Linked DNA regions of Pelodiscus sinensis. The protein of the gene in region 2 interacts with the protein of the main gene of each other region in a pairwise test. Links are inferred from orthologs where the notes say so. Each region holds a gene or a part of one and is shown on either strand. Other genes may lie near its edges.

Region 1 (8,590 bases), on a different chromosome or scaffold from region 2:
GAAAAAATAACCCCAACCATATATATAATATGATGGGGGCTAATTTCGCTACAACTAATCAGGAAAGAGATCTTGGAGTCATCACGGATAGTTCTCTGAAGACATCCACGCAGCGTGTAGCAGCAGTCAAAAAAGCAAACAGGATGCTAGGAATCATTAAAAAAGGGATAGAGAATAAGATGGAGAGCATCTTACTGCCCTTATATCAATTCATGGTACGCACACATCTTGACTACTGCGTACAGATCTGATCTCCTCATCTCAAAAAAGATATATTGGCATTAGAAAAGGTTCAGAGAAGGGCAACTAAAATGATTAGGGGTCCGGAATGGGTCCCATCTGAAGAGAGATTAAAGAGACTTGGACTTTTCAGCTTGGAAAAGAGGAGACTAAGGGGGAATATAATAGAGGTATATAAAGTCATGAGTGGTGTGGAGAAAGTGAATAAGGAAAAGTTATTTACTTGTTCCCATAATATAAGAACCAAGGGCCATCAAATGAAACTAATGGGCAGCAGGTTTAAAACAAATAAAAGGAAGTTCTTCTTCACACAGCACATAGTCAATCTGTGGAACTACTTGCTTGAGGAGGCTGTGAAGGCTAGGACTATAACAGGGTTTAAAAGAGAACTAGATAAATTCATGGAGGTTAGTTCCATAAATGGCTATTAGCCAGTATGGGTAAGGAATGGTGTCCCTAGCTTCTGTTTGTCAGAGGGTGGAAATGGATGGCAGGAGAAAGATCACTTGATAATTACCTGTTCGATTCACTCCTTCTGGGACACCTGGTATTGGCCACTGTCAGAAGACAGGATACTGGCTAGAGGGACCTTTGGTCTGACCCAGTATGGCCATTCTTATGTTCGTATGTTCTTAAAGAAAAATCTTTTGATTTTTGTTTTACCAAAAGTTCTTGTTCAGGGTTAACCCAAACAATATCCTCTCCCCCCCCCCCCCCCCCCCCATGTGTTGGTATGGCCAACAAATTGAAGTGGTAGTTATTTGTCGTTTTAATGGCACCACATTTCTAGATGTTATATTATGTATGCACATTAGTAGATAAATGTAACCTATACATTTTGCAATATTTACATAGTGTAGCAGGGTGTTGCCCTGCACTGGCCCTTTAAGGGGTTGGGAGACCTGGAGTTGGGGGGCCCAACTGGAGCTTATAAGAGCAGCTCCTGGGAAGAGGAGAGGGTTCTGCCTGTCTGCCGCCCCAGGGCCACAGGCTTTGGGCCCAGCGAACCCAGACTACCCGGCCTGAGGCCCAGTGCTGCATGGAGGCAGTCATAAAGGGCGGGGGCTTGCACGGAGGCAGCCCTAAAAGGCCGGGCTGCAGGGAGGCACCCATGGCTCACACAGAGGCAGTTATGGTAGGCCAGGGAAGCCCTAGGCCAGAAGGCACAAAGGCAGAGGTGCAGGAGGGAACCCGGCAGACTGAGAAACTGGGTGTTCCAGGAAGGAGCTGAGTGCTCCTGGGAAGAGCTAGGGGTCTCTGGGAGTAAGGAGGACCCTGGGTGTACAAGAAGAACAGTGACTCCCCCCGGAAGAGGGCATGGACGAAAAGCGGAGGGCAGTGACCTGAAGAGAACACCTCACTCAAAGGGGGCGTGTCAGAGAAGTGGGTGACTTCCCCACAAGCCACCCTGAGGAAGTCATCTGGGCAAAAAAGTGAGAAGCTGTGCGAAAAGTGAGTGAATCTGCTACAATAGCTAATTCTGCATATCACATAATGAAAGTATACTATTGAGGGATGCTCTGAAAATGATTGCAAATACTGGTTATCGATATCAGTTAAACCCTATATGATCACATCCATCACTACATTTTTTTTACTCAAATGAGGCACACACAAATAAAATGAATAATTCTAACTAACCGGCAAACAGCTTCAATTTTGCAAGTGTAACAAAATATTCATAACTATAAAGTCTAAAAACAACTGTATTCATCACAAAACTTTCTCAGATGTGCACTTAAGAGCTATAATACCTCTCAGACTCCTGTAAAGATTGCCAATCATACAAATCTGCAAAACGGAAGATCCTTCAGCAAGTCATGACTATATGAGTATTATACAAACAACCATCTTTTACCATGGAGAAAAATTCCATCTACTTCTGTTCTTGGTTTTTTTTTTTTTAAATACTGTGGTAGTTTCTAGAAGACAGGTCATGACCCAAGACCCATTGCACTAGGCACTGTATAAACCGAACAAAAGGAGGGTCCCTGCCCCAAAGAGCTCCTAATAGAAGTATCAGGTCAGAAACAATGTGGGGCTACAGCCAAGGCAACAGAAAGAAACAATGAGGCAGGACAGGCAGAGGTCACAGCAAGCCAGTGGCCTAACCTTTGTCAAGTTGTTTTGTAGGCCGTACTGCAAAAGAAAGTTTTAAGGTGGAATACGGTGGGTGGGAATGAAACAGCTTTGCAGATCTCCGCAGGGGTCACCTCCCACACAAAAGAGAAAGAAAACTACAAGGTGTCTGTTTGGAAATGTAACAAGCCTGTGATCCATCCGGCTTGGCCTCTCTACCCCACTAATGGGGGATGGGAGCCAGCCCCTTGTACACACTGGGGAGCACCTCACAGCTCAAGGCAGGTCCGGGTTTGCATTAGGGATGTAATAGTGTAATTGATTAACCCATTCACCGATAAGCAAAAGCCTATAGGTTGATGCTGTAGACTACACGTATCTCTTCTCCCCCCACCTCCCTGCTCTGCCAGTACATTTTTTTTTAGCAGGCCAGCCAGCAGCGCAAGTCAGGCCAGGTCCAGGACCTATCCCAGTTGCGGCTCTGCATTTAAAGTGTATTAGGAATCGGGCGGGCAGCCTGGCTCAGTTCTGGCTGGCGCGGGGTCCTCCCCCCAGACGGAGGCCGCTGCCATCCCACGCTGTGCAGCACGGGGGGACAGGCCGCCAGCCCGGGAGGGGAGCTCCCCTCATGGACCAGCTCCCACCTCACACCCCATAGTGCTGCCTCTGGATCGGAGGCAGCAGCCAAGGGGGCTCCGGGGGAGCAGAGCTGGACCGAGCCATAAGGCGCCTGATTGACATGGGAGGGGGCGCCAACCTGTGGGGGGGAGGGGCCTGACTGAAGTGCTAAGGGGTGCGCTGGGGGCGAGCCCCCCCCCCTCCGGGCCTGGGGATGGAGGCGCCGCTGCCGGCCCCGCCCGGGACTAACCGACGCAAACCGATGAGGTTTTGACTGGTCCTGAGGTAACATCCCGTTGGCACCGCGCGCGGCAGCCAGAGCCAGAGCCGGGCCCTGAGGGGCAGGACAAGGCAGAGCCCCCCCCCCGCCGGCCCTGCCCGCCCCCCCGGCCCCTCACCCGTCAGGCCGCCCCCCTTGCCGTGGCCTCGCCGCCGCTGCAGGAGGAAGAAGGGGTTGGCCCGCTCGGTGACCCAGAGCGCGCCGGCCAGCAGCACCTCCTCGGGGCTCAGCCACATGGCGCCGGCTCGGCTGGGCCGGGCGGCTTCGGGCCGGGCCGCGCGGGCGAGTGACGGGGCCCAGCCGACTCAGCTCAGCCCCGGGAGCCGACGGGGCGGCGCCCTCTGGCGGCCCGGCCGGCTCATGGCGGCGCGCAACGGCCGCCGCCTCCCCTGGGGGACTGGGCGGGAGCTGCCGCCTCAGCGCCACGGCCAGGCCCGAGCCCCAGGGAGCGACTCTCCCGCGCTTCAGAGCCCCCCTCCCTGGGGGACAGACCCCCCCCCCCCGAGAACGGCCCGCCCTGTGCCCCAGAGCCCCCCTCCCCTGGGGGACAGACCCCCCCCCCGGAACGGCCCGCCCTATGCCCCAGAGCCCCCCTCCCCTGGGGACAGACCCCCCCCCGAGAACGGCCCGCCCTGTGCCCCAGAGCCCCCCTCCCCTGGGGGACAGACCCCCCCCGAGAACGGCCCGCCCTGTGCCCCAGAGCCCCCCTCCCCTGGGGGACAGACCCCCCCGGAACGGCCCGCCCCGTGCCCCAGAGCCCCCCTCCCCTGGGAGACAGACCCCCCCCCGAGAACGGCCCGCCCTGTGCCCCAGAGCCCCCCTCCCCTGGGGGACAGACCCCCCCCCGGAACGGCCCGCCCTGTGCCCCAGAGCCCCCCTCCCCTGGGGACTGACCCCCCCCCCCCCCCGAGAACGGCCCGCCCTGTGCCCCAGAGCCCCCCTCCCCTGGGGGACAGACCCCCCCCCCCGAGAACGGCCCGCCCTGTGCCCCAGAGCCCCCCTCCCTGGGGGACAGACCCCCCCCGGAACGGCCCGCCCTGTGCCCCAGAGCCCCCCTCCCCTGGGGGACAGACCCCCCCGGAACGGCCCGCCCTGTGCCCCAGAGCCCCCCTCCCTGGGGGACAGACCCCCCCCCGAGAACGGCCCGCCCTGTGCCCCAGAGCCCCCCTCCCCTGGGGGACAGACCCCCCCCCCCGAGAACGGCCCGCCCTGTGCCCCAGAGCCCCCCTCCCCTGGGGGACAGACCCCCCCCGGAACGGCCCGCCCTGTGCCCCAGAGCCCCCCTCCCCTGGGGGACAGACCCCCCCCCGAGAACGGCCCGCCCTGTGCCCCAGAGCCCCCCTCCCCTGGGGGACAGACCCCCCCCCCCTGAGAACGGCCCGCCCTGTGCCCCAGAGCCCCCCTCCCCTGGGGGACAGACCCCCCCCCCCCGAGAACGGCCCGCCCTGTACCCCAGAGCCCCCCTCCCCCTGGGGGACAGACCCCCCCTGGAACGGCCCGCCCTGTGCCCCAGAGCCCCCCTCCCCTGGGGGACAGACCCCCCCCGGAACGGCCCGCCCTGTGCCCCAGAGCCCCCCTCCCCTGGGGGACAGACCCCCCCCCCGAGAACGGCCCGCCCTGTGCCCCAGAGCCCCCCTCCCCTGGGGGACAGACTTCCCCCCCCCGAGAACGGCCCGCCCTGTGCCCCAGAGCCCCCCTCCCCTGGGGGACAGACCCCCCCCGGAACGGCCCGCCCTGTGCCCCAGAGCCCCCCTCCCCTGGGGGACAGACCCCCCCCCCTGAGAACGGCCCGCCCTGTGCCCCAGAGCCCCCCTCCCCTGGGGGACAGACCCCCCCCCCTGAGAACGGCCCGCCCTGTGCCCCAGAGCCCCCCTCCCCTGGGGGACAGACCCCCCCCCCGAGAACGGCCCGCCCTGTACCCCAGAGCCCCCCTCCCCTGGGGGACAGACCCCCCCTGGAACGGCCCGCCCTGTGCCCCAGAGCCCCCCTCCCCTGGGGGACAGACCCCCCCCGGAACGGCCCGCCCTGTGCCCCAGAGCCCCCCTCCCCTGGGGGACAGACCCCCCCCCCGAGAACGGCCCGCCCTGTGCCCCAGAGCCCCCCTCCCCTGGGGGACAGACTTCCCCCCCCCCGAGAACGGCCCGCCCTGTGCCCCAGAGCCCCCCTCCCCTGGGGGACAGACCCCCCCCCCCCGAGAACGGCCCGCCCTGTGCCCCAGAGCCCCCCTCCCCTGGGGGACAGACCCCCCCCCCGGGAACGGCCCGCCCTGTGTCCCAGAGCCCTCCCTCCCCTAGGGGACAGACCCCTCCCCTGAGAACGGCCCGCCCTGACCCCAGAGCCCCCGCTCCCCTGGGGGACAGACCCCCCCCGAGAACGGCCCGCCCTGTACCCCAGAGCCCACTCTCCCCTGGGGGACAGACCCTCCCCCCGAGAACGGCCCGCCCTGTGCCCCAAAACCCCCCCTCCCCTGGGGAACAGACCGCCCCCTGAGAACTGCCTGCCTTGTGCCCCAGAGCCCCCCTCCCCTGGGTGACAGACCCCCCCCCCGAGAACGGCCCGCCCTGTGCCCCAGAGCCCCCCCCACCTCTGGGGAAAAGACCCCCCCCCCGGAGAACAGCCCGCCCTGTGCCTCAGCGCCCCCCCTCCTCTGGGGAACAGACCCCCCCTGAGAACAGCCTGCCCTGTGCCTCAGCGCCCCCCCTCCCCTGGGGAACAGACCCGGCCCCCGCACCCCGAATGGCCCACCCTGTGCCTCAGAGCCCCTGGCTCCGCTGCGGAACAGACCCCCCCCCCCCAGAATGGCCTGCCCTGTGCCTTAGAGCCTCCCCTCCCCCAGGGAACACACCCTTTGTGCCACAGAAATCCCCCTCTGGGAATGGCCTGCCCTGTGCCTCAGAGCCCCCCCCCCCCACTCCGTGGGGAACAGACCCGCTGTGCCACAGAGACCCCCCAGGAACAGTCTTCCCGCCCAAAGCCTCCTCCACTCTTTGGGGAACAGCCCAGCCCATACCAGAGAGGCCTCCCCCCATCCCCTGCAGAAGGTCCCTCTGCCGGGAGAACCCTCCCCATGACTGCTCTAGAATACTCACCCCTCTCCTCCTGGGGAACAGTCCCCACCATTCCATTGCCACAGAGACCCCCTGGGGGATGGTCCCTTGCCCTCAGGAACCCTCCACTGACCCTGCTAGAATGCCCCCCCATGCATCAGAGACCCTCCCTCCAGGTAATCCTTGCCCCAGGAGACCCTTCCCCACCCCCTAGGGACAGGGCCGGCCCGAGCCATTCATGCGCCCTGGGTCCGGGGTGCCCGGCAGCCCTGCGTGGCGCCCCCTACAATGGGGCACCCCGGGTGGTAGCCCAGTCAGCCCATAGCTTGGGCCGGTTCTGCCTAGGGAACAGGCCCTCTATTCCAGTGCCACAGAGACACTTCACCCTTGGGGAACAGCCACTTTCTCCATTGCCACAGAGACCCTCCTGCTGGAATGGTCTCCCTCTGCCCAAGCCACAGACAACATTCTCCCATCCCCGGGGGACTGGCCCTTATCTCTAATGCCATGACAGAGGTCATCCCTGCCAGGGGAATAGCCCCATCCTCAGTGCCTCCACTTCCTTATGGGGGAATAGCCCTTTGCCTTGTGCCACAACAGAGGTTGCTCCACCACACCCCTGAGGATAGGAAGTCTCCCCACAAACTCCTGTTCCTAATCCACCTACGTCCTCCCCTGTTGCATTGTCCCCCACCGCCAACCACCACCACAGTGTTGCCAACTTTAAACACTCAAATATTGTGAGTTAGGGCCCTCACAATCATGAATGTAGTGATATAAATGTAGCCGTGTTAGTCTGGTGTAGCTGAAACAATTGTGACAATTTTCTTCCACTATTTGATCTGAGGAAGTGGGTCTGGCCCACGAAAGCTCATCACCTAGTAAATCATCTTGTTAGTCTTTAAAGTGCTACATAGAGGACTGTTTTTTGTTTCAGTCATGAATGTAGTTCACCTCAAAAAATTACATTCTGATGCCTAAGCCTTTAGGGTGCATGTTTTCAGGCTTTTCTCCCTAAATATGCAGGTTAAAAACGTACATTCTGTGAAACGAAAGCTGCAATTCTCACTGCAGTCACAACTCCAGTAGTTGGGGCTTCAAGCAAAACTCCAAATGTTATAACTCGTGACAAAATCTTGAGAGTTGGCACTGCTAGGAATAGGACACACCTTCTCCGTGCTCCCTCCACTTTCCCTGCCAGACAGAAGGGAGAGGCCTTCCCTCCTCCTGGGGAAATGGGACTCAGGAGCAGAGTTAAATTAGTATCTGCGTCCACATCTGTGGACGACTTGCAGATACCTGTGGCTATAAAGTGGATATCCACAAATTTGCAGGATTCTGGATACAAAATTGGTATCCACAAAAATGAACCACAAATATCTACATCGGTGGATGCAGATATCCGTGGATTTACAGGCCTACTCAGGAGCAATGTTCCCTCTAATTTTTTCCATCCATAAGCAGATTGCATTTTATTTCCACTGAAGCAGATGTGGATATTCACCACTAGTAGAAACACATGCTGTCGGTTCTGGGTGCTCTGCTAATCAGTTGGGACAGGCATTTGAATCTCTTCTGGGTGGACACCAAAGTGCTCCGCTTAGAGGGAACACTACTCAGGAGTATGCTGTGCACCAAATATAACCTTATTCCCAAGGAGTGGACCCTCTGGGAAAGGTTTGAATGCACTCTACCACAGACAAGGAGCATCCTTTTGTGCCATCTGCAGCCTCTAGGCAACAAGAAGTAGCTCGTGTGTCCTAGCCCCCTTTGGTAAAGGAACCTCTGAGAGCTAGCTTGGAAGGGATCTCTCTGCATTCCACCTTTCCTGCAAAAGAATTAGAGAGGAGGCCTCCCTATGCTGCCTTCACCCAAATGGGCCACAGAAAGTGTGTTTCTTCCCAAACCAAAACAAAGAGGCTGTGTCTAGACTGGCAAGATTTTCCGCAAAAGCAAGTGCTTTTGCGGAAAAACTTGCCAGCTGTCTACACTGGCTGCTTGAATTTCCACAAGAACACTGACGATCTCATGTAAGAAATCAGTGCTTCTTGCGGAAATACTATGCTGCTCCCGTTCGGGCAAAAGTCCTTTTGCAAAAGGGCCAGTGTAGACAGCTCAGGTTTGTTTTGCGCAAAAAAGCCCCAATCGTGAAAATGGTGATCGGGGCTTTTTTGCGGAAAAGCGCGTCTAGATTGGCAGGGACGCTTTTCTGCAAAAAGGGCTTTTGCAGAAAAGAGTCCGTGCCAATCTAGACACTCTTTTCTGCAAATGCTTTTAACGGAAAACTTTTAAAACCGTTAAAAGCATTTGCGGAAAATCATGCCAG
Region 2 (8,934 bases):
TTTTTGCACAAAAGCTTTTGCGCAAAAGGGCCAGTGTAGACAGCTCAGATTTGTTTTGCGCAAAAAAGCCCCAATTGTGAAAATGGCGATCGGGGCTTTTTTGCGCAAAAGCGCATCTAGATTGGCACGGATGCTTTTCTGCAAAAAGTGCCTTTGCGGAAAAGCATTCGTGCCAATCTAGATGCTCTTTTCCGTGAATGCTTTTAACGGAAAACTTTTCCGTTAAAAGCATTAGTGGAAAATCATACCAGTCTAGACATAGCCCTAGAGTGAGACACTGCTATGCAAAGATGTTTTAAAAGAAAAGAATGAAATTTTTTGTACAAACATAAGAATCACAGTCTTATGCCTTAGCTGCTATTATTAGGGCACAGAGCCAGCTTTTTGTAGTGCATAGAAACATCCCTTGGCCCTCCTAAATGCCAAACTTTCTTCTCTAGAACAGAATATTAGCCAATAAACTTAATGCTGACTACACCTTGACTCAGCACTTTTGATCCTGCATTTTGTTTCAGGGCCCATGTGTAACCTTTATAGTGGTTACAAGGGAACCTTTCTATTACCCCAAATCATTGACAAATAAGGACTGCTTTATATTTGATTTACTATAGGCACTTCAGATTCTTATACCTTGGGTTCAGTGCTGTAGCTATCTTTAGACATCTCACACTGGCACCTTCTTTGTGTTTTCTCAAATCAGCAGTGAAAGTGAGCTTAAAATGGACATGTGCTGGGTTATCATCCAAGACTGCTATAACATGAAATATAGGGCAGAATGCATGTAAAACAGAGCAGAAGACATGCAGTACACCCACAGGGAGTTCAGTCACCTTTTTTTAACGAGCATCATCAGCATTGAAGTATGTCCTCTGGAATTGTGGCCAAAGCATGAAGGCGCATAGGAATATTTAGAATATCTGGCATGTAAATATCTTGCAGTACTGACTGCTGAAGTGCCATGAGAACACCTGTTCTCACTTTCAGGTGACATTGTAAATAAGAAGTGGGAAGCATTATTTCCCATAAATGTAAACAAACTTCTTTCTCTAAGCCAGGGGTCTCCAAACTTTTCAGTCCGAGGGCCGCATTAACTATCAAACAGCAGTTCGGGGGCCGACTACACACTTGAGGTCCAAATAAAAAACAATCAAAACATGGATGTTGTTTTTAATTATTTATTTAATATTATTTTATTCAGTTATTATTTAATAACACATTCATACACTACACATGAACACCTGTATTAGTGTGAATGGTGAAATTGTTTCCTGGATGCCAAAATAGCAGACATTTCTGGCTTTAGATTTGTTGTCCCTAACATCAACAGTGACCTGAGATTATCATCGGACAAGTTTGTTCTCAAATTGTTCTTCACGTATTTCATTCTTGAAAATGTTTGTTCACACAGGTATGTTGTTCCAAAGATTGAAAGGTACCTTGATGCAAAAGTTTTGACATTAGGAAAGTCTTCCTTGGGCAAAAACTGGTAAAAACCCACCAGTCCTATTTTGAACTTGTCCCTAAGGAGGTCATTTGCTTGCAACTCAATGACTTCCAGCTGCAGTTCATCTGGGCAACTGGCCACATCTGCTTCAAATGGGTTTTGAAACAATCTCACTTCTTCTGCCTTTGAATCCAAAAAGGTCTCCACGGGCCGGATGAGAGGGCCTCGCGGGCCGCATCCGGCCCCCGGGCCGTAGTTTGGAGACCCCTGCTCTAAGCAATCAGCTGAACAAGAAGTAGGACTGCATGGACTTGGAGGTACTAAAGTTTTATATTGTTTTGTTTTTGAGCACAGTTATGTAACAAAAAAAATCTACATTTGTAAGTTGCACTTTCATGATAAATAGATTGCACTATGGTACTATCATCAGATTAATTGAAAAATATTTTTAGAGTGCATATATTTTTACTGTAACTACTAAAGTGAGCACTGTATACTTCATAGTCTATGTTGTTATTGAAATGTATATATTTGACAATGTAGAGAAATATCAAAATATTTCATTTCAATTAATATTCTATTTTTCAATATGATTAAAACTGTGATTGTGAATGATTTTTTTATTACAATTTTTTGTGTTAATTGTGTGAGATAACTGCAATTAATCAGCAGCCCTAAAAATTAAGTTATATAAAATAGCCAAAGTATAGTAGCAAGTGCTTACTGATGATTTATAAACCTAAACAACTGATCTACTTAAATTTAGAGTAGGTAATCAATTTCAATAAATCAATAGCTGTGTTCATATGAATTTCCCCACAATAACTGACAGATTAAAATTAGGGCAGAAGCTCCAATGGATAAAATTATCTAATCCCCCCTCCCAAACAAGGTATGAGTGTGCCTTTTAGAGTGATGTATTTCTACCCAGCTCCTATAACTCCAGAATGGCTCAGCTGAACTTGCTTTACTTTTTTAATCCAGGTTTGAGCTCAACCATGAAACTTTTCAATTCCAAACTGGAAAAAAAACAGAATATAAAACTGGTGGGGTGGGGTGGGTTGGGGGGAGAGTTTGAATACAGTGGCCTTGTATCAGAAGGGTCCTGAGGGACATGTGGGGCTCAGGGCAGAAGTAACAAATATTTTATTTCCAGGACCAATCTTGTCACTTTCAAGATTGGTTCTGGAAATAATTGTGCCGGCTTGCAGAACCCCCCGCTCTCTCCCAAGAACATGGCCGGGTGCAGTCACCCCGATTCACCCCAGGGATGGCTCTGCTTTATATGATGACATTCATCTTGCTTGGTCAAAGAGGGAGGGGCACTTTTTTAAATATATTTAATGAAAAATGAGGAGTGGGATATTCCTGCTGCTTGTGAAACAAATTGGACATTATATTTAGCTGAAAAATGCTGAAATTTTATTTTAGTCAGTACACAAATATTCTTTCATTTTAGATCCGCTTCTAATTCCAGATCAATGGGTAGAACAAAATTATGGTTCTGGTTCGGTTCCTGTTAAAATACCAGCTTGAATTTGTTCTTCCGTAAAACACCCCGGACAAAATAGATTATCTGAGCAGTTCAGATGCAATGTTAAGATCCCTAAGTGCTCTGTGGCAGTTTTAAAATGAGCAGCAGAGGGACAGAGAATGATTCTAAGTATCTAAACCAAGAGTGGGCAATAATTTTTGATGGGGGGGCGGGCGGGAGAACACTCCAAGATTTTGGTAAGTGATCAAGGACTGCACTTTTCTATGGAGGGGGTCTGGGATGAAGGTTAGGTGTGGAAGGGAGCTTGGATTAGGGGGTTGGGGTGCAGGACAGGTTGTGGGGTCAGAAAGGGAGTTTGGGTGAAGGAGGAGATTGTGACCTGGGGCAGGGTTTTGGGGTGTAGGGTCTGGGAGGAGGTATGGTTATGCAGGAGAGAATTCTGGCCTGGGGCAGGAATGTAGGAGGAGGTGCAGGGTCTGGGAAAGAGTTGTGACCTGGGGAAAGAGGGGAGAGGGAGTGCAGAGAGTTTGGATGGTGACCTGGGGCAGAGAATTCGGATGTTGGAGGGGCTGGGGTACCAGAGGCAGGCTGTGGCCGGGAGGCTCTTACCTAGGCCACTCCCAGCCAGCAGTTCTGCAGGACCCTGAGGCAGACTCCTGGGAAGGGTTGGGGTGAGGGCTCTGGCTGGAGGTGCGGGCTCCAGGTCTGACCAAATATCAGGGTTTGAAATGCAGGAGAGAGCTGGGACAGGTGTGCAGGAGGGAATGGGGACTCCAGCTAGTGGTGGGGGTTCTGGGTTGGGGCCAGAAATGAGGGGTTCAATGTTCAGGCAGGGATAGAGGGTCAGGGTGCAAGATAGGGTGAGGAGCTGGAGGTGCATGCTCTGGGGTGGGGCTATGGTTTGGGGTGCAGGAAGGGGCTGGGGAGGGAGTTCTTGGCAGTGTTCTCAGGTGGTCCAGGGAAGCTGCTGGCATCTCTCTCCAGCTCCTGCACTGAGACAGAACCACATGGTTCTGCATACTGTCCAAACCTGCAGGCAACACCCTCTCAGCTCTCATTGGCCATGGTTACTAGCCAATGGGAGCTGCTGAGCTGGCGCTGGAGGCAGTGCGTGGAGCCCCCTGAGCTATCCCTCCACCTAAGACCCAGAGGAAGCTGCCCGGCAACTCCTGGGAGCACCATGGAACCAGCTACAGAGCCTGCCTGCTCTGCCAACCAGACTTTTAATGCCCACCCATCAGCAGTGCTGACAGGAGCCACCAGAGTGGGTGTTCCAGTCAAAAACTGGACTCCTGGCAACCCCACCACAACAGACAGAGCCAGTCTTAGGGGTGGGTGAGCTGGGTGTTACCCAGGGCTGCCATTTTCAGGAAGACCACATTTTGGCCTGACCTCCCGAATGCCCCTGGTTACTCCCCGACCTCCCCCCCCCTTTTTTTTTCCTCAACAAATTTTTGTCTGGTATATTTTTTAAACCATCTGGCAACCCTATGGGCAAGCTGGGTGGTCGCCCAGGGCTGCCAATTGGTTAGGACCAGGACCGTGACAACAGACTGTACTCAAGCATATCACTAATATAAACTGCATTCCCCAAAGGAAAGTGCCTCAGAGCCCCATTGCAGAGAGGTTATGGAAGGAACCACAGCAAACCTCTCCCCTGCTGCTAAGAGAGCCATTAAGGCAGCAGTGCAAATACATTACAACATTGCTTTAGTTTAGATGGTCTAGGCCAGTGAGAAGAGTGATGGAAATGTAGCCGTGTTAGTCTGGTGTAGCTGAAACAAAAAACAGGACTATGTAGCACTTTAGAGACTAACAAGATGGTTTATTAGGTGATGAGCTAATAAGTGGGTCTGGCCCATGAAAGCTCATCACCTAATAAACCATCTTGTTAGTCTTTAAAGCGCAGCATAGTCCTGTTTTTTGTTTAGGCCAGTGAAGGCCAACTTTGCCTTGTGAGGGGCAGCATGACTGGCCCTCTTTTGTCTCAGGGGGCTACAGGATAGTTGTAACCAAGCCAGTCTCCCGGGACTGGGTCGTTTCACTAACTGCACTTGCACACGCAGCATTTGCAGGGCACCGATCGAACCGAAGCAGCAGGTTGATTGGCTGCAGAAGGAGCCGGGGGCTCTCAGTGTTGTGTGCACTCAGCATGCACCTCATTGCACGTGCCCCTCACTAGTAACACCCACAGGGGGGAACCAGCAGAATCCCAACTCCAGGGTGCAACGGCAAACAAAATGGCTCACGGGCCACACGCCCGCCCCGCTGGGCCACAGGCTGCTCCAGGCTGCGTAACGGGCCGAGGGGAAACCCGGCAAAGTAACACGCGGGGCGGGGCGGGGCGGGGCGGGCCCCCCTGCAGTGGCCGGGCCTGTGCCGGGAGAGCAGAGCCTGCCCGGGCGGAGCCATTTCCCGGCACCGATGCGCCCCGGGGCCCGGCGTCTCGCTGCTCCGACCGCCTCAAGGCGCGGAGGGCGGGGCGCGTGCCGCCACCCCGCCTGCGCGCGCACTGCCAGAGCTCCGCCCCCCCCCTCACGTGCACGGGGCTGTCGGGAGAATGACGCAGCCGGAAGGAGAGACCGTGCCCGGGCGGGGCAGTAACCTCTCCGGCCTCCCCGTGGCTTCCTTCCGCCAAGCTACCGGGCTTAGCGAACTACAACTCCCAGAACGCCCTGCGGCGGGAAGGCGCTCTCCCCCCCCCCCGTTTACTGTGTCTAAGCAACCTGTCGGGGGATTGGCCAGCAGGGACGGGCCAATAGGCTTTTCCGGTGCATGGGGGACAGTGAAGCTAACGCGCTCGTGGCTAGCGTGTGATGCCCGGCCGTGGGGCGGGGCCTGGTCGGGGAAGGCAGCACGTGTCCGGCGCAGCTGCTCTTAGCCGGGCGCGGGGAGCCATGGAGCTGGAGCCGGAGCCGGGCGAGGTGAGCGGCGGGGCAGAGAGATGCTGCGTCCCCGGGCCCTGCGCGCGCCCCGGCGCCCCCCTCTCGCCCCGCGGGACTCCGGGGGCCCAGCGCTGCAGCCCGGCGGCCCCTGTGAGACGCCCCCATCCAGCGCCTTGCCCAGGGATCCGCGTCGGCTTCCCGCTGCCCTGGCGCCAGGCTGTGGGCGGGGAAGCCCGCTCCGCCCAGGGGCTGGGCACGGAAGGATCCTTCGCAGCCGCTTTCCTGAATTCAGTTTGTAAAAGGGTCTGGGTCGCGGTGCGGCAATGGGCCCGGCTGGGGGTAGACCAGGCTCCTGGAGCGGTGGGACTGCACTCAGTGGCGCCTTCGCTGTCGGCTTTTTGGTTCTTCTACCCCATGGCCGTAGGTGTGAACGGTGCTCCTGACACTGCCTCTGGGGAAGAGTTCAGACTCGGTGGGAGCAGCCTGAAGCCCTGTGTTCCTTAATACAGTGTTTCTCAAACTGTGCTCAGCGGCTCCGTGAGGGTGACAAACTAGAAACATTGATAGGTACAAATCATATAATCAGGGGTCCGCTGGGGCGCTGCATACATTTTTACGCATGTAAAGTGCTCCAGAGCCCAAAAAGTTTGAGAACTGCTGCCTTAATACAGTAAAATTCCGATAATCTGGCACCTTTAGGACCCAGGGGGTGCTGGATTATCAGATTTGCCAGACTATCGGAAGGGGGGGCTATGAGGGGTCTGGGGTGGGGTGGGATGCCACCTCAGACCCCTCATAACCCCCCCTTCCGATAGTCCGGCTCTGCCCCAGGCGACCCCGATTCAGCCGCTGCTGGTCAGTTTCAGCAGCGGCTGAATCGGGGATGCCTGCAGCAGAGCAGCTGGACCTGTGGCGCGGCAAGACCAACCCGGCAGCACCCCAGCTGCTCTTGGGGATGCTTGGGGCAGAGCAGCTGGGGTGCTGCCGGGTTGGTCCCGCAGCCCTGCTCCTCGGCGCTACTGGACCAACCCGGCAGCACCCCAGCTGCTCTACCCCAGGTGTCCCCAAGTCAGCTGCTGCTGAAATTGATCAGCGGCTGACTCCAGGAAGCCGGAGGCAGAGTTACTCTGCCCCGGGCTTCCTGGAGTCAGCCACTGGTCAGTTTCAACAGCGGCTGAATCCAGATGCCTGGGACAGAGCAGCTGGGGCGCTGCTGGGTTGGTCTGGTAGCGCCAACCCGTGGCACTACCAGACCAACCCTGCAGCACCCCAGCTGCTCTGTCCCAGGTGTACCCAAGACAGCCGCTGCTGAAACTGATCAGCGGCTGACTCCAGGAAGCCGGAGGCAGAGTTACTCTGCCCCGGGCTTCCTGGAATCAGCCCCTGATCAGTTTCAGCAGCGGCTGAATCGGGGACAGCTGGGGTGCTGCCGGGTTGAGTCCTGCAGCTCTGAGGGGCAGCACTACGGGACCTAACCGGCAGCACTCCAGCTGCTCTGCCCCAGGCTTCTCCGATTCAGCCGCTGGTCAGTTTTAGCAGCAGCTGAATTGGGGAAGCTGGGGGCAGAGCAGCTCCAATGGTCCGGGTGCCTGGAGCACTTCCGGGTTCCTGATGGTGCCGGACCATCAGATGCCGGACCATCGGAGTTTTACTGTAGATCATTTTTACTCCAAGGCAGAATCTGTTTCTCTGTGTCCCAGCATGTATGTGATTGTTCTTATTTTGGGGAGGGAAGAATAGGGAAAGCAATGTAAAGTACAATGTTTGGAGGCTGAAGTTTTGCTCAGACCCTAAAACAGGGCTACTCCACTTTGGAAGCCTTGAGGGCCACAATGATACTCACAGCACATGTCGAGGGCTGCAACTTAAGTGTGGTTGCATATACATGCAAATATATGCAAATAGCTTCTTTCACACTGACTGGCACAAATACCAAGATTAAGCCTTAAGCTGCGGCACCGGACCCAAATGTGGCCAGTGTAAACCAGTCAGCACCTCTCAGGCTCTGCCCACAAGGCTAAGCAACCAGCACTTCCCACAATGCCCCGGTGCTCCCGGCACCTCCTCCTGACACCCTGTTCTCGTCTGTTCTAGCCAGCCCGTCTGCTTGCATCTTTCAGTGCTCATCCTGCCTGGGAGATGCCTTGCCATTGTGGAGCATGTTCCCAGTGGAGGCCATGTTCAAAGGATCCCACCCATGGGCCATGTGTTGAGCTCCACATAAACCCAAACCACACTATGGGCTGTAAACAAACGGACTGCAGCCCGTTTGTTGAATAGCTGTGCCCTAAAAGCGTATGCCACTAACTTACCACCTGAGAGCAGAAAAGGGCCAGTGACCATAAAAACAAGTGGTCCTGTGGCACCTTAGAGAATATATAGAATCATGAGCTTTTGGGGGCAAAACTTCATCAGATGAATTGGAGTGGAAATAACAGAAACCTATATAGATAAAAACACATCAGAAGTACCACCTGTCAGTTGTAGGACCTATGTTACTGAGGCTAATTAAATGGACTGGATGTCTCCCATACGTAGCTTTTGATGTGGAAATGCAGATGTTAATGACAGAAGAAATTGGCTTTGTAATGCACCAGCTAGTTAATGTCTTTGTTTAGAGTAAGGTAACAGGTGCCAAATGTATAGATGAATTCCAGTTTTGCAGACTTTCTCTGTAATTGGTTAGTGAAATTCCTTTGTAGAAGAATGGCTACTTTTAAATCCTTGATTGAGAGACATGACGGGTTTTATGTATGTTACCATTTCTGATTTCCAATTTGTGTCCATTTATCCTTTGTCGTAGAGACTGTCCAGTTTGGCCAATATACATTGCAGAGGGGCATTGCTGGTACTTGATGGCATATATCGCATTAGAGGATGTGCCTCTGAAGTTGTGGCTTTTGTGGTTAGGGCTTATGATGGTGTCACTTGTATGTATGGACAGAGTAGGCAATGGGGTTTGTAGCAAGGGCAGGTTCCTTGGTAAGCATATGAGGTGTGATGATGTTGGCTGCTGGAAAGGATTTGCTTCAGGTTGAGGGGGTTGTCCCAAATGAGTCACACCTGATTTTGGGGTAGAATTACCTTAACAGCCACATCAGGTTTCCCCT

The links.
Region 1: the proteins of L3MBTL2 (region 2) and TBC1D9B interact in binary tests that used the Homo sapiens proteins (3 or more experiments, as listed by UniProt). The two-hybrid records come from large-scale screens. The link is inferred for Pelodiscus sinensis from reciprocal best matches to the Homo sapiens genes L3MBTL2 and TBC1D9B.

Annotation. Positions count from the first base shown.
Region 1 is NC_134727.1:34,492,066-34,500,655, forward strand, and holds the start of TBC1D9B (TBC1 domain family member 9B), read right to left. Parts: upstream 3,567-8,590; 5' UTR 3,454-3,566; coding exon 3,336-3,453; intron 1-3,335. UniProt on the Homo sapiens protein: May act as a GTPase-activating protein for Rab family protein(s).
Region 2 is NC_134711.1:89,382,765-89,391,698, reverse strand, and holds the start of L3MBTL2 (lethal(3)malignant brain tumor-like protein 2), read left to right. Parts: upstream 1-5,673; 5' UTR 5,674-5,755; coding exon 5,756-5,863; intron 5,864-8,934. UniProt on the Homo sapiens protein: Putative Polycomb group (PcG) protein. PcG proteins maintain the transcriptionally repressive state of genes, probably via a modification of chromatin, rendering it heritably changed in its expressibility.